Regions from separate parts of the Mus musculus genome. Here region 2 is reported to be linked to region 1. The links are microRNA targets in miRTarBase. Many come from high-throughput screens and were not tested one by one. Region 1 holds a microRNA gene; the other region holds the end of a gene's coding sequence.
Evidence for each region. Region 1 holds the annotated microRNA mmu-miR-34b-5p (AGGCAGUGUAAUUAGCUGAUUGU, at 4,965-4,987, shown strand). A microRNA usually pairs through its seed, bases 2 to 8, with sites in the 3' UTR of a target mRNA and lowers its output. Matches are read on the target gene's strand: a 7mer-m8 pairs with bases 2 to 8, a 7mer-A1 pairs with bases 2 to 7 and ends in A, and an 8mer does both.

Region 1 (7,120 bases):
TGTGCAGAACTGTTTATACACACAGTGTGCACTGATGTAATAAATGTGTCTGTATGTGTGACAACATTGGATGCTGTCCTAATCAAGTAAGGAAAGTATTGGTGATTGATATGTTTATTAATGGAAGATACTAACTATAAACTGAGTATATTGAGTTCAAGAGAAAGTAGAGAAGAAGAAACAGAAAGAAGATGAGCTCTAAAGGCACCTTGGGATATTTTTCCTGGAGATAGGCCTGAGCTTTAAACACGCTGTGGATGGACCAAGAGGGGAGGAGACAACATAAGTTCAGCTAAATATAAACACAATGAAATCCTTGAGATACACGTTATGAGTTAGAGAAAATAAAGAAATGAGTTGTATAATTGTTAAACTATATGCACGCTCGATACAGGAATCAAGAAGTCTTAAGTGCTCAATGAGGACAGTAAAAACAACTGCAATGAATAACTGTGCACAAAGTGACGCCTCTGAGAAAGGCAGACACTGATTGCATGCTTGCAAATAGATTAGTTGACAGGTAGCTTCCTATTTGGGCTTCACAGACTTAAGAATACCTACTAGGACCTCTTAAGGAAAATGAACTCTTCAGCAACACACTCAGACAACCAGCTAGCTACTCTGAAACCCCAAAATTACTTTTACAAACCAGGAAATCTACTTGAGATCTGCTTAAAGTGGCAGGAGCCAGTCTACAGTCAGGGAAGTTCATCTGTCTACGTGCACCTTGGAGAAAACCATCTACTTAACATGTATCTGGGTTCCATTCCAGGATTAAAAAGGAGAGGAGGGCATTCCACTGTTGGTCACTTACTTCCTCCTTCCTGAAAGAACTATAACAAGCAAGAATAAGCTACCACACCCTTCATGGACTTTGTTCAACTCTTTGATTTAATTTTCACAGTTTCAGAAAACTGCTAATCCCTCTTCTTAATTCTGACTTCTTTCCAGAATTCCAGTTTAAATACTTACCTTCATTATGATGTTCATCCATAGCCCAAACCCAGCCTTGCTTAGACCCAAACTCAACTCGTTATAAACATCCTCTGATTCTGTTTCCCTCAGCTCCTCAAATTTGTCCCTGGAGTTAGCAGCTGATCTTGTTAAATGGTTAATCAGACATCAAGTCCTAAACATTTTCTTTCACAAAATCCCTTATTCTGTATTTCCTCTATCATTCCATATGTGCATCTGTTAAAAATCATCTCCTACATTGAAGCTCAGCCCCCTCTGTAATCCATGATACTTTAATCCCCATAAAACAACATACACTTTGTAGGCATCAGGGGCTCTCCGAGAGCCAGAATGATATTCAAACTCCCTACGCTAACGTTTCTAGTCTCTCATGCCTACCTCCTACTATAATTCAGTCAATGCTGGTTTTTTTTTCTATATAGCCCTATTTTTGTCCCATATTTTGGTGCTTTTTAATTATGTTTTCCCCAAATGTTAACAATAACAGCACTCGAATTCAAGATTTCTTAAGCACTTAGTAATCTAAGTACTTAGACATTCAATATATTTTATGTGATATAAATATATTATCTAAACATTTTATGCATTAATATAATAATTTATATATTAATATTATGATGCATTAATATGATTAACATAATTTAACTATATTAATTATCTATACAAACAAACTGTCTATCCCTCCAATTAAACCACATCTCTGGAGACTGTTGTTCCCTAGAGATGAGAAATAGACAAGAATTGTTTCTGGAGTAAGAGCTCCATCAACCTTAACTAGGAAGCTATTTTTGTTAGATTGTTCCTAAAAAAGTAAATTAACATTTGATACTGAAAGCAAAACTATTGGTTAATTGAGAAATGGAAACAAGAAGCTAATTGAGAACTTTTCCTAATGAGAGTTCATTGAGTTGAAACCAGAGGTATAGAGCTGCTGGCAGTTCATTCTAGCTCAGATGACAACCCACTATGATTAAACAGATTCATTGATTTGTAATTATTCAAGGGCTAAATTGACTTCAACTCAGCCTTGCTTCAACTTATAAACTAGTTCCTAAGCATACTATCGTGAATATTAATATGGTCATCTGACATTTGATAGTCTGCATAAAAAAATGCATGGTTTTATTTCCTAGGAAAGTATGCATTTTTGAAATGTTTTAAAAGAAGTGGCTAAAGATCATTGCTTTCTAATTAGTGTCCTTCATTCTTTCCTCCCTAACAAGAACCTTCAAATGCTGCAGAAATAGCCTGCAACTGGGAGGTTGTATCAAGAAGAACAAGAGCTCAAGGCCAGCCTGAGCTAATTGAGTCCCTATCTAAAAACAAAGAGGACGTGTACAGACGATGTGCTGTGTGTACTGACAGGAGGAAGTCATCTCTCGATGGCCCTTTTACAGGAGTCATAAATTAAGTCAAGATAAATTTGTCAGATTCACGCAGGAAGTTCTTGTTTTTGATACTTTTCATGGTTTCCTTCCGGTCAATACTATCAACCCATCTCCTCAAAGGTCCTACCCCATCTCCCAGATCAACAAAAACCCAGAAATTAAAGCAGTAAACAGCTCCTCCTCAAGGTGCCTTCCTGGATCTATCTAACCAAATGTAATGGTCTGCTTGGGCATTTTAACCACACCACAGGCATTCTTACTTAGATTAAAACATGAGTCTCCCTGGTCTCTAGACATGCCTAGGCATGACCAGCAGATGCAATAAGATCCTTGGAGTTTCTCTAGTAACTGTGGGCAGGATCAACAGCAACCCTAAGAACAGACATTCTTTTCTATTGTTGCTTTCTAACAGAACTAGGGCACACGCATTTTTTTTTCATCATTTTACTTTTTATCATTGAAGAAAAAAATTTAGTCTAAATTTCAAGACAGTTTATGCAATGATAGCTTTGGATGGAAGCAATAAAACTCAGGTAAGATATTTAAGATGCTACTAATAGAGAAAATCCCTAAGCTGGGTGGAAGCATGACACATGGAGTGAAATTGAGCAAAATGCAAAATAAATGATTTTTTAATGATGTCCTCCTAAAACTTGTAACTCTTCATAGTGTTTATGGGATGGAGGCTATTTCTACTACTTTTATTTATATTTGAACGTTTAAATGACCTTTTGTAGGATACATTATACTTTTCTCAAATACAAGAAGACTGAATACAAGATAGTTATTTACAAATGTCTTTCATAAGTTAATTTTATAATAATCTGGCATTTTCTACTTCATTTTCCTTTCACTTAAGCCTTCATAAAACAATGACTCTGAAGGAAAAAAACATTGTCTTTTACTTTCAAAGATAATGTTAAAATATACACAAGTTTATTCTTGGGAAGTTCTTGGGTTTTAATGGTTTCCACTTGGAATTTGTGTTGAATGTTCCTGATGATTGGCATATATTCATGTAATTAGTGGCATCTACAAGACCATTTGCTGGGCTTACAGGTATCAGTGTATAGCTAAGAAATGTCCCTTTGTAGACTGCAAGACTGTTGGATCAATACAAATGGGTGTCATACAGCATACAGGAAGACCACAGTCTGGGACGGCTACTTCCTACTGAATTCCACAAAGTTTGCAATCAGAGAATACTGTATATCCTCTCTGGGCTCAATTAATTAAAGGAAAGGAGAGGAAAGACTAAAGGAAAGAAATATTAGTGAAGATGGCGCAGAAATGCTGTCCCCTCAGCGCCTCCTATTCCCAATATACACAAACACGCACCCCGTTATCAGATATAAAATAGCAAAAACAAGGGGAATGTAACTGACAGAAGATATGGCTTCTCGGGCTTCTACAGACCTCATCCTTAATGTCCAAATCTACCCTTGCTTCAAGGATCTACCTGAACTCTCACCTCCTCCATGATGGTGTCTGTCAGCTCTTGTTGGCACACCTCCCACCCCCACCCATACCTGTTTTTTTCTATTAGGAAAATCTATCAGTTTAGCAACTTTATACTGTCTGGAGTAATAAATAATGTGTTCACATTTTGTTACCACCTAGACTGTCTGATGGGTAGTAAGACAAACGCCTGTTAGGTGCTGGATTTGTAACATTTAAATAAAACAGGAGCCCAAAGTGAGACTAGATATCCTCAAGGCTCACGGGGAGATCATCAAAACTGTGTCTTTGATCTTATAAGGGCCACAACTTTGACCTACCAACAAGGGTGTTGGTTCAATGTTTGACCAGAAGAGTGGCCCACACTTCACTGTATGGCCCTGTAAGAGGTAGTCCTAAGAAAGAACTTGGGTACAGGCAAGGGCAATCCTGCAGGTATGAGTGCCCAGGCCTGCTCAGGCAGGAAGGCTCCAGATGAGACGCCTGGGAAGCGGTTTCTGAGAATGGGCATATGAACAGTGAGGAGGCCTGGGGCTTCTTGGGCAATATATTGGGAAGGAGAGATGGATGTAGGTCTCTGCGCTTCTTTCTTCGATGTAGCAGTAACTACACTGTGAAGATAAACTTCTCAAGAATCTGTCTCTCCATCTCCCCGGCCCCTTCCCAGGAGGCTCTGCAGGAGCCCTCCCATTGCCCCTTCTGGTAGCTTCTGCCACCCCTCCCCCACTCGCCCCGCCCCCTCGGCCTCGGGGTTCCAAGGGCGGTTGGTCGCTGAGCCACGGTCACTCGGCCAGTAGGAGCTGCGGGGCGCGCGGGCTGGACAGAACCGGCTCTAGACTTGGGTCTGGAAGCCGTGAAGAAGTTGTTGGAGGCGGGTCAGACCCGGCTTGCGGGAAGAAGGACTCGGGCCGGATGCCCTGGGGTCCGGGCTGAGTCGGGGGTCTCGGGGGGGACGGCGGGGACAGGGGGCCTCAGCGCCTGGGGGTTCACCTGGGGTCGCGCGCGGCCCTGCTGGGTGTGGAGGGGCCTCGGGAGCCTGAGGCACCTCTCGCTCCGCCGCCCTCGCCTGTCGACCGTGGCGAAAGGGGGCGAGGGGCCCGACCCTCGGGAGCTGCAGTGGCGGGCGCCCGGTGCTCGGTTTGTAGGCAGTGTAATTAGCTGATTGTAGTGCGGTGCTGACAATCACTAACTCCACTGCCATCAAAACAAGGCACAGCATCACCCGCCGCCCGCGGGAGGAGAAGCCAGCGCTGCAGCCCCACTGACTCCGCAGAAAGCCGAGGCCGGAGCCAGGATGCGTCAGCAAAGGGCCGGGAGCACGAGGTCTAAGTGCAAGTAACCCTCGGAGACCGGCGGCCTCCTTTAGGGACCGTTCGGCTACCTGTGTGTAAGAGCCAGAGCAAAAACGGTTCAGTGATGTGTAAAGAGAATCGGTATACACCGGCCTTAACATAAAAAAAAAAAAAAAAAAAAAGGCCAGGAAGAGCCCCCCCCCCCCCCCCCCCAGAACAGTTCCTGCTGCTGCTGTGATTCACTGCCTGATTTCCACTTCTGAGAAAGCTATCACCAAGGCAGCGACTAGAGTCAACCACAGCTTGGCTGACGATTTGCTCTGGTCACACCAAAGTCTGAGAGCACCAGCTAAAGACTGCATGCTTTTTTCTGAGTCTAGTTACTAGGCAGTGTAGTTAGCTGATTGCTAATAGTACCAATCACTAACCACACAGCCAGGTAAAAAGACTGAAATTCCTCCGACTGAGCCTCCTGTGAATCGTCATTTTGGTGAGGACAGAGCCATAGGGAAATATTCTTACCATACTATTAGTGGTTTGGGGGGGGGGGGGGAACCGCTAGCCCTTAGCTGCTAAGTATACAATGTATCAATTTGTGTGGGGTACATTTTTTGTGATTTTTAGATATATTGGAAAAATAGAAATTATCCCTTAGCTGATTTGGTCATTATATTGACTTGTGATTATAAATCTTTGGACTTTGCCTGACATATTAATAACACTCTAAAAAATAAAGCGCCACGAAAATCTCAGCAATCGTGTTCATTTCCTTTCCAAAAACTGGCTTTAGGATCTCCATTTCAGCTCCTGTCAACCCCGTAAAGTCATTAAATGGTTAGTTGCTATACAGACAAAATCTCCAGGGAAACGTCTCACACATGATTGTGACCTGGAAGGGAACGTTAAATGTTTTCATAATTTTCCATGGGGCAAGGGAACTCAGCCCACTTAACCAGGTATATTTTTTAAGGTATTAACAGTTGCGTTCTAGGCAACTTTTCGTGGGAATAATTAGTGAACACGATTTAAAACCAGCTGGTTTCCTAATATCTGTAATAAAAGATTTGAGAGGTTTTAAATCACACAAGCTGTATCCACCGGTACTTCTCGGCCCAGTTCTAGATTAGCGCTTTATGCAGATGTATCAATGCAAACCTGAGAATTTCCCCAGAGGTAAGAGTGCGAAGCCTTGGCAATCTTGTCCAAAAGAGGAAGGCGCTCTTTAAAGCTCACATTATTGGGCTATCTGGGGGAGGAGGAGACGCTGGCTGAGGATCTAAGAGACAGTCCAGGACTGTACACATCACAAAGTTGAGGCTTTTACTCTTAAGGCTTGACTGGCCCCGAAAATTGTGACCTCGACAGAAGCCAGCTGCTGATGGGCCACAAGCCCTCGAGGAACCCCAGATCTACGGAAGAAGAAACACAGGCATTCCGGTGGTGGCAGTTACCAACAGGACGGTTCTCCGGTAGGGGCGGGACGCCAGAGCTAAGGAAAGCGTCCTGAGTCACCATGGAAACGGGGCCCAGAGGCTGTCCTAGCGGCAGGAAGGAATCCCAGGAAATCTGCTCCCCTGGATTACTGGTGTTCACCGGCTGCTCTGAGCAGGATGCCAATTTGGCTAAGCAGTTTTGGCTCGGGGCGTCCATGTACCCCACTACCGAATCTCAGCTCGTGCTGACCCGAGGCAGCAGTCAGAGGCTACCGGTGGCGCGGAACTCTAAAGTCGTTCTGAGAGGTGAGTAGCAAGGCTACCTCCTGGAAGGGGAAACTGCCTGGTCTAATTGTCAGTCAATTGAGAAGTACAAACAAGCAGAAACAGGCAGTAATAGGTATATGCAAATACACAAACAATTCTAAAACTGCTGCAATTCTCCACTGTAAAGGATCTCATTGTTACATATAAATTCATTCTAGAGCTGGAGAAATGGCTCAGCAGTTAAGAGCACTGACTGCTTTCCAGAGGTCCTGAGTTCAATTCCCAGCAACCACATGGTGGCTCACAA
Region 2 (7,120 bases), not on the chromosome of region 1:
GGCTGTCCTGAAACTCCCTCTGTAGACCAGGCTGGCCTCAAACTCAGATCTGTGTTTTCCTCCCAAGTGTTGGGATCAAAGGCCCAGGCAGTGTGTCATCTAAACCACTGAGTCACCTTGGCCCCATCCCTGTATTAAGAATTTCTAAACAAACTTCCAATGTAAAGTTCATTTAGTAATTTAAATACACAGGAAGGCACAGTCTATGGGCACTGTTGCTGCTTTTCTTGCCTAGACAACTAAAAAACAAAACAAAACAAAACAAAACTGACAACAGGAGATTGTATATTTTGTTTAATACTTGCATTGTTTCTATAGCGCAATTATAGCAATCTTTAAGTTTACTTTTCATTACAAATATTTGTCAAGTTTTGTTTCAGAAACATTTTTCCTACTTTCTTGCACATGCGCCCAGACACACTACAAAAAATTCATTCATAACACAGTAAGGGCAAACATTACTCATGTAAACATCTTCCATTGATTTCCCGTAATTAAAAAAAAAATCATAGAATTATATATTGAATAAGGCTCATAGATTTAGTTCAAATTCCACAAAAGACCAAAGATGGTTTTTTTTTCTTTTTAACTGTGATGGGTTGACTTTTGGTTACAATCAAGGCCGAAAGCATAACCCCCTGGCTTCCACTCCATAAACGTACCTCACAACCCAAGAAAATGCCTCGTAGGATAGAAAGAGAACATAGAAAAACCAAGAGGAAAAAAAAAAGAAAACATTTGAAGAAAGGAGCCAAGAATCGTGGACATAACTTCATAACTCGCTTATGCAACCACCAGGTGTGACGTACATAGCCCCTGTAGCATCAAGAATAATTATAGTAACCAAGTAGATAGGTAAGGGGGCACTGGCTCAGTGTTCATATTGCTAGCGTACACAGTGAAATTTGTCAGATTATTGTTTTGTTATAACCCAGGGCCAAAGGTGGGTTGGGGAACGCACTCAAGTGAAATATCATTTTGTAAAGGATTTTTTGTTTGTTTGTTTTGTTTTTCTTTCCAGTAACTCAAGAGTTGGAAGGTATTAGGTACATGAATGGTCTTCATATTAAAATGACATTTAACAACTGCGTGTAAAATCACAGACAGGAATCAAGGGTTTCCATTATCCACGGAAGTCTCCCTCTCTGGCTGAAGTCGGGTGCTTAGATGCATAGTCTTCCAGAGCTGAGACTGGATAAGGACTGTGCTGAGGATGGCCCCTGCCAGCGGCTGCTCGCCTCCTCCCTCGAGGAGAGGGAGGTCAGAAGGCAAAAAGCATTGGTAACTCTGTGAAGTCCCACCCCGGGGTCCAGACCCCAACTCCACTGAGGGTAGCTTCCCTGACATCGTGACTAGGCAGTTAGGGGTGGCGAGTGAAGGTAGCCGGGAAACCCAGCTCCGAGGTTTACAAGTCTGGCTTCTGATTCTGCTGCCCTGCAAAAATAATTGTGCTCGTATAACTGCACCGGTGTCTCTAACGCCTCGATTCGCTCTCAGGCCCCTCAGAGGCCTGCGGGAATCACTAAAAGGTAAACACGTCTCCTTTAGCACCGAACTTACCACCAGAAAGCGGCTGAGGCACTGGGGAAGCCTACCTCACATCGGACGCCACCCCACCAGGAGGTGGTCATCAGTCAGAGCGGTTTGTAGGCTTTTTGATTTCTAAAAATGAAAATTGATCTGCATTATATCTCAATAGACTCAGATAATTCTCACCAAAAATTTTTGTCCTGTGTTTAAATAGCACTGGAATAATTCAACTTCATTTAAATATATTCATTCTACCATGAAAATATTTCATACAAACAGCTATTTACATACAAACACATTAAAATTTGTGGAAAGGGCTCCACCCCTGCGGCTTTATGGCTTGAAATAGTTTCATTGCTTTGAATATGTATGCACATGTTTGGCAAAATAAAACTTACAAAATTGAGTCTTTTTGAAAACAAAAATCACCACCCCTCCCCTCCCCTCCCCAACCCCGGCAAAACCAAACCAAAACCAAAAACAACCCTCCAAAACTAAAACCCAAAAAACACTGACACCAAAGCTTAAAATTTTAGAAGGGAAAGCAATCCAAGCCCCGCTGCCCCGCTGCAGCAATGCAAGCCTCAGGGCGGGAATCTATCAAGGTACCTCCCTGTACCTGGAAATTGAAGATATTTGTGAACCTTTGATCTGCAGCAAAGAAACATTGCGACTCTCCATCTTGCAACATAGTTTTGCTTGTTTGTCTAAAATAAAAGATGTCTGGATTCTAAATCTCTACTTTGAAGACAGAATTTGAGGTGGCTGTTTGAGAATAACCAAAGCCTAGAACTCTTGACCTTCTTGGAAAATGTAGAAGTGCATTTTTGCAGTGAGAAATTTAGATTTTTTTTCTTAAACCAATTAAGTAAAATTAATAAAAGTGTCACATACTGTCTCACGAAGACAACCTTTTATTTCAGTGTTCACAATTGACCCTTCCACTCCCAGTACTAGGGACGTAAGCCAGGGCCTCTAGCTGCTAGGCAGATGTTGGACTTTGAGCTGTATTTGCTGCTCAACGCAACTTTAATTGTCACAATTAAATGTTGTAAATGATTACATGGCCTTGTTGGTGTGTGGGTGTGTGTGTGTGTGTGAGGGTTGGTGATAAGGAAACAGTTTTTCAAGACTGATGAACCCCAAAGGGGAATGAGGCTGAACTCTAGTCCCAGTCAGGTTCAAAGAGGCCTTGACAAAAAAAAAAAAAAGGTTTCCTTTTTAGTTGCTGGAGAGGTCAGGGATTGAGAGGATTAAAATAAGAATCTGTACTAAGAAACTCAAGTCTTCCGCCTGTTACTCTGTAACCTTATCATTCTTTTGTGTCCTAATTTCAGTTCTTTCTTTTGCTTCTGTTAGTTCCAGCGTATGCCCCAGTTAGGGGGGACGTGCTCCATGGATTAGTTCCTAGTCCTAACTCCTAACTCTAACACAAGGCAATAATAGTTCAGCATAGGAAAGATGCTAAAGATGGGTCAAGTCATGCAGGGTTGGACTGAGACAGCTCTGAATGAGGCCTCTCGAGACCCGTGCTGACGTCAGGCAGGTAAGCCCACAAGCGCCAGCTGTCAGGAAGACAGCGCACAGTTCTTTTTCTTCTCTACCACACAGAATCTCAATCATGGCTGTTTGTGATTATGATCCTGAGAGAAGACCAGACTTGCCCGCTTCCTATGTCCTTCTACAGTAGAAGGCACATTCGGAGGCTTTTCTGTTTTGGTTCAAGCAAGGAGCAAACCCCAACCTCCCTCAGCAGCTAATTCTCTATGCAGCGCCTATGCTGTCTGCTTCTCTTCTCCACAGTGAGGTTCTGGCCTCTTTAACAGTTGCAACCTATGACTAAGCAAGTTACCTATGCTTGGTAACTTGGAGAGAGGAAGAGAGAAGGGGAGGGGGAAGGGGAGGGAGGGGGAAGGGAAAGCAAGGGAAGGGGGAGGGGAGGGAGAGGGAGAAGAAGAGGGAGGAAGAGGGAGTAAAAGGAAGAGGGAGGGAAAGGAAGAGGGAGGGAGAGGGATAGAGAAGGCGGAGGCAGGGGCAGTGACTGGAATGGGTCACAGTCAGGGAAAGGCACAGAGTCCAGCAAGAGAGAAGAGGAACTTAAGACATAAGGAAAGAGGTGGAGCAATCGGCTGGGCTGCCATTCTGCACACACACACCCAGGCTTCTCACACAGCAGAAGAAAAGGAGCTGAAAGGCACCAGGAACCCAGGGCGAGGGGAGACAGGGAGGCTCGGCTCTGAGGGTCTGCTTCCTGTGTCTAAGGGTCACCGACACATTGCTGCTGGGTTTGAAGTCCAGTGTGTCTTCCTCCACTGTGGGATGGGAAAAGTAGATCGGTTTCCCAGCCACATGTGTGTGTGTGTGTGTGTGTGTGGAGGGGCGGGTGCGTGCCATGCTGGGTGTGGTCAGAGGCTAGCCTTCAGGAGTTGTTTCTCTCCTACTATATATGTCCTAAGGCTTAACTCAGGCCATCGGCTTGCCAACAGCACCTTTACCTGCTAAACGTTTTTTGCTGGCCCTTAAGCCCCCCCAAATTGTTTTTGAGTCCCATTTGGATGAGATTGCTAGAGTAGCCCTTTAGGATAGAGGTTGAGCCCCTACAGCAACTGAGGCTAAGGTTCCATCCCCAGGTGTGAAATCCTGTGAGCCTGGGCGATTGGAGGTGGAACCTGTTCTCTCGTCCTCCGTCCTCCTTCTCATCTGGTCACTGAAGTTCAGCCATTGTTCTCCCCAAAGCAGCCAACTCTCTTTGGGCACATTTACAGAAAAGCTCCTCTCAGAATCTGAACCCACAGACTCAGCCTCCTGTCAGAGTTTACTGAATGGTGTCTTTCTACAGAATAGAAGCCATCCTATCCTGCTGACTTGCAGTCTGAAAACTATTCAGTCCTCTTTGCAGGAGGCTCCTCGAAAGTCCAGAGGACGTTTCTCCCGAGGGAACTCGCTCCTTAAGCTTTCAAACAGGGATGTGACTAGCACTCCCGGGCAGCATCGTCACCTGGGTGCAGAGCCTGACGGTAGGTATGTCAGGAAGCTTGTGAAAGAGCCCAGGGGTGGCTATCACAACTGAGGGCTGAGTTCTCCACCTGGGGCTCTTGATGGAAAAGCTGTGTCGCAGCCCCAGATAAAGCACTCCTGAAAGTTGTGAAGACCAAGATGCAACTGACCACAGAATATCAAACCGCTCTCTACCTGTCTCCTCTCTCCATTTCCACCTACTCCCAAGCATCTCTCCCCTTTCCCAGAGCCCTTTATTGCAGCTTGGAAAGCTTTAGCTTTTAAGCCTAAACCGACACAGGCCACAGGTAGCACTGTGGACAGCTACCGGCTTCAGCAACTGTTGTTCCCAGGCCTTCTCGGTGATGGACACCTTGGGGGAGGGGAGTGTTCCCCAAACTCGGCATTCATTCAGAGCGACCCAGTTACATTACAGATCTAATGTGCTAAAGTAAAATAATGGGGTTTTCTCTGTACTTCTGCAATTGTGATTACATATGGCTTGAGGAGGCTGAGACGCTAGCGGGATTAACCGCGCAGGTGTGAACTCTTGGAAGCAGCTAAATGCTTTGAAATCCGCTGTGACGAGAAGCCTTAGCTAGAGATCTGATTTGTACCTATCGATATCAGCATGTCTGCCTTCGTGACACTGATTTCAAAGAGAATTTTGCATTCTGCCTTAGAATGCACACTGGCTATTGTGTTTGAATTCAATGAGCTGTGTGTGTCACAAGCCAGACTGTACTAGGTTATGTACAATTAATGTGTACCCAAGAAGAAGAAAAAATTAGCAACACTACTGGAGATACTGCAAAGTTGCCATAACAACTGCTTAGATATAACTTCCCTCTCTTCTTCCTGAAAGTGTATCTTAAAACCCTTCCATAACTTGATGCAAACAAGGTAAATCCATTTCTTCTCACATCTGAAAGCAAAGATATCCTTGTTTACATGCGAGAATAGTAAGTCTATAAATAACAGTCTGGCCCTAGGAGCCAGGACTTTATATCAGGACGTAAGAGTGAAATGGCAGAGAAAGGACCAGAGAGACCTGTACGCTGCTACAAATGCAAAATCCAAGTGGAAGCTTTCTCTTGTAAAGTATAGCTAGTATAGTGAAGCTAAAGAAATTACTCAAAACACTGGGCTTCGGGTCACTAGGAGAGGAACAACAAAAACAAAGCCATTCTACTGCAAGAGATACAGATCAAAGGTTAAAAGGCAAATGACCCTACGTGTATATAAAGATGTAATTGCTTCCTGCCCTGCGGTTGGCAACATGCAAGGGTGACAACACCATTTGCACTGGCCATAGAGAAAACATCATGGAAAAAAAAATAAAAAGAAGAAGAAGAGACTGAAGAACCCCGTTTCCCCTTTTCAGCCTCATCATTTGGTATCTCTGAACACGGTCCAGATTTAGACTTTCACCATCAAAGAACATCATGCTGTCTACAGTTCGACAGTACCTCTCAGTAGGGCGTTGTGGCAAGGCTAGCTAATTTTAAATCTGGTACGAGTAATACAGTCAAACCTAGTTAGTATGCGAGAGAGAGAGAGAGGGGGGGGGGAGAGAGAGAGAGAGAGAGAGAGAGAGAGAGAGAGAGAGTCGTTGCTAACGCAGGGTGAGAGGATGTGATGTCATGGCATGAATAGTCCCTGGTTGTCCCGTTGTCAGATAAATGTAGTGCATAGATCCAAGTTTCTACTCCAGGTCTCTGGGACCCAGTGCCAAGCCTTTCACTTCTGCTGGGTGGCCTGGAAGGCCTTCAGCTCCACTTGATACCACTCGGGGGCTTCAGGCCCACTCTTCCCCGGGGGGCTGTGGTCATAGCCGTAGGCAACGGTCAGCTCTTCCTCGGCCTCCACAGCTCGCAGGGTGCGGATGCACTTGATCGGCCCGAAACGGGGGTGGACAAACCTAAACATTAAGACGGGAAAGGTCACTCTTGGGTCAACCGAGGACCTCAGTGCCAAGGGAGCGGCTCACCCACATGCACTGGGTGTCACTCCCGAGTTCTCAGAGAAGGGGCACACCCCCACCAGCTTCAGCACCCACTCTAGGCAGTCTGGGGTGGAAGGCTCAGCTGGTAAAGTGTTCATCTAACACATATGGGGCCCAAGGCTCGTCTCAGCATAACCATAAACCAGGCATGGTGGTCCTAGTGCTCGGGAGGTGGGGGAGGGGAATCAGTCTCTTGGCTTCATAGTGAGTCTGAGGCCAGACTGGGATTATACAACATCCTGTCCTAAAATTAAAACCCCAAATCTCCCAGAACACCCCAGCACATATTGGAGAGAGAGGTCAGAGGACAACTTGGAGAAGTCGCTCCTTTCCTTCAACCATGTGGGTTCCAGGGATCAAACACAATAGGCTTGGTGACAAGTGCCTTTAGCGGCTAAGCTAGTTGCTAGCCCTCATCCTTCATGCAGACCCCCCATGATTAGCAAGGGACAGAGGACAACACATCACATGGGGAAAAGCCAGCCATAAATCAGATTGGCCTCTAGGGCCTGAGGGAGCTAAGTATTTAGCTGGCTCCTCTGTTTGTGGAGAAAGGTGTGTGTCTAGTGTTTTCTTAGATCACTGGAA

Region 2: miRTarBase lists Setd7 as a target of mmu-miR-34b-5p. Seed matches in the 3' UTR shown: 7mer-m8 at 3,564-3,570.

Annotation. Positions count from the first base shown.
Region 1 is chr9:51,101,477-51,108,596 of GRCm38, reverse strand. Mir34b (microRNA 34b) reads left to right here and starts at 4,952; the gene lies at 4,952-5,035. Hoatz (HOATZ cilia and flagella associated protein) reads left to right here and starts at 6,519. Exons shown (of 6, transcript NM_177702.4): 1 at 6,519-6,852. The coding sequence starts at 6,627. It overlaps Mir34c (microRNA 34c), which reads left to right and starts at 5,487; the gene lies at 5,487-5,563. It also overlaps a transcript of Btg4 not described here.
Region 2 is chr3:51,515,040-51,522,159 of GRCm38, forward strand. Setd7 (SET domain containing (lysine methyltransferase) 7) reads right to left here. Exons shown (of 8, transcript NM_080793.5): 8 at 279-6,448. The coding sequence ends at 6,268. Among named protein-coding and RNA genes, the nearest start is that of Gm36008, 7.6 kb to the left of the region's middle.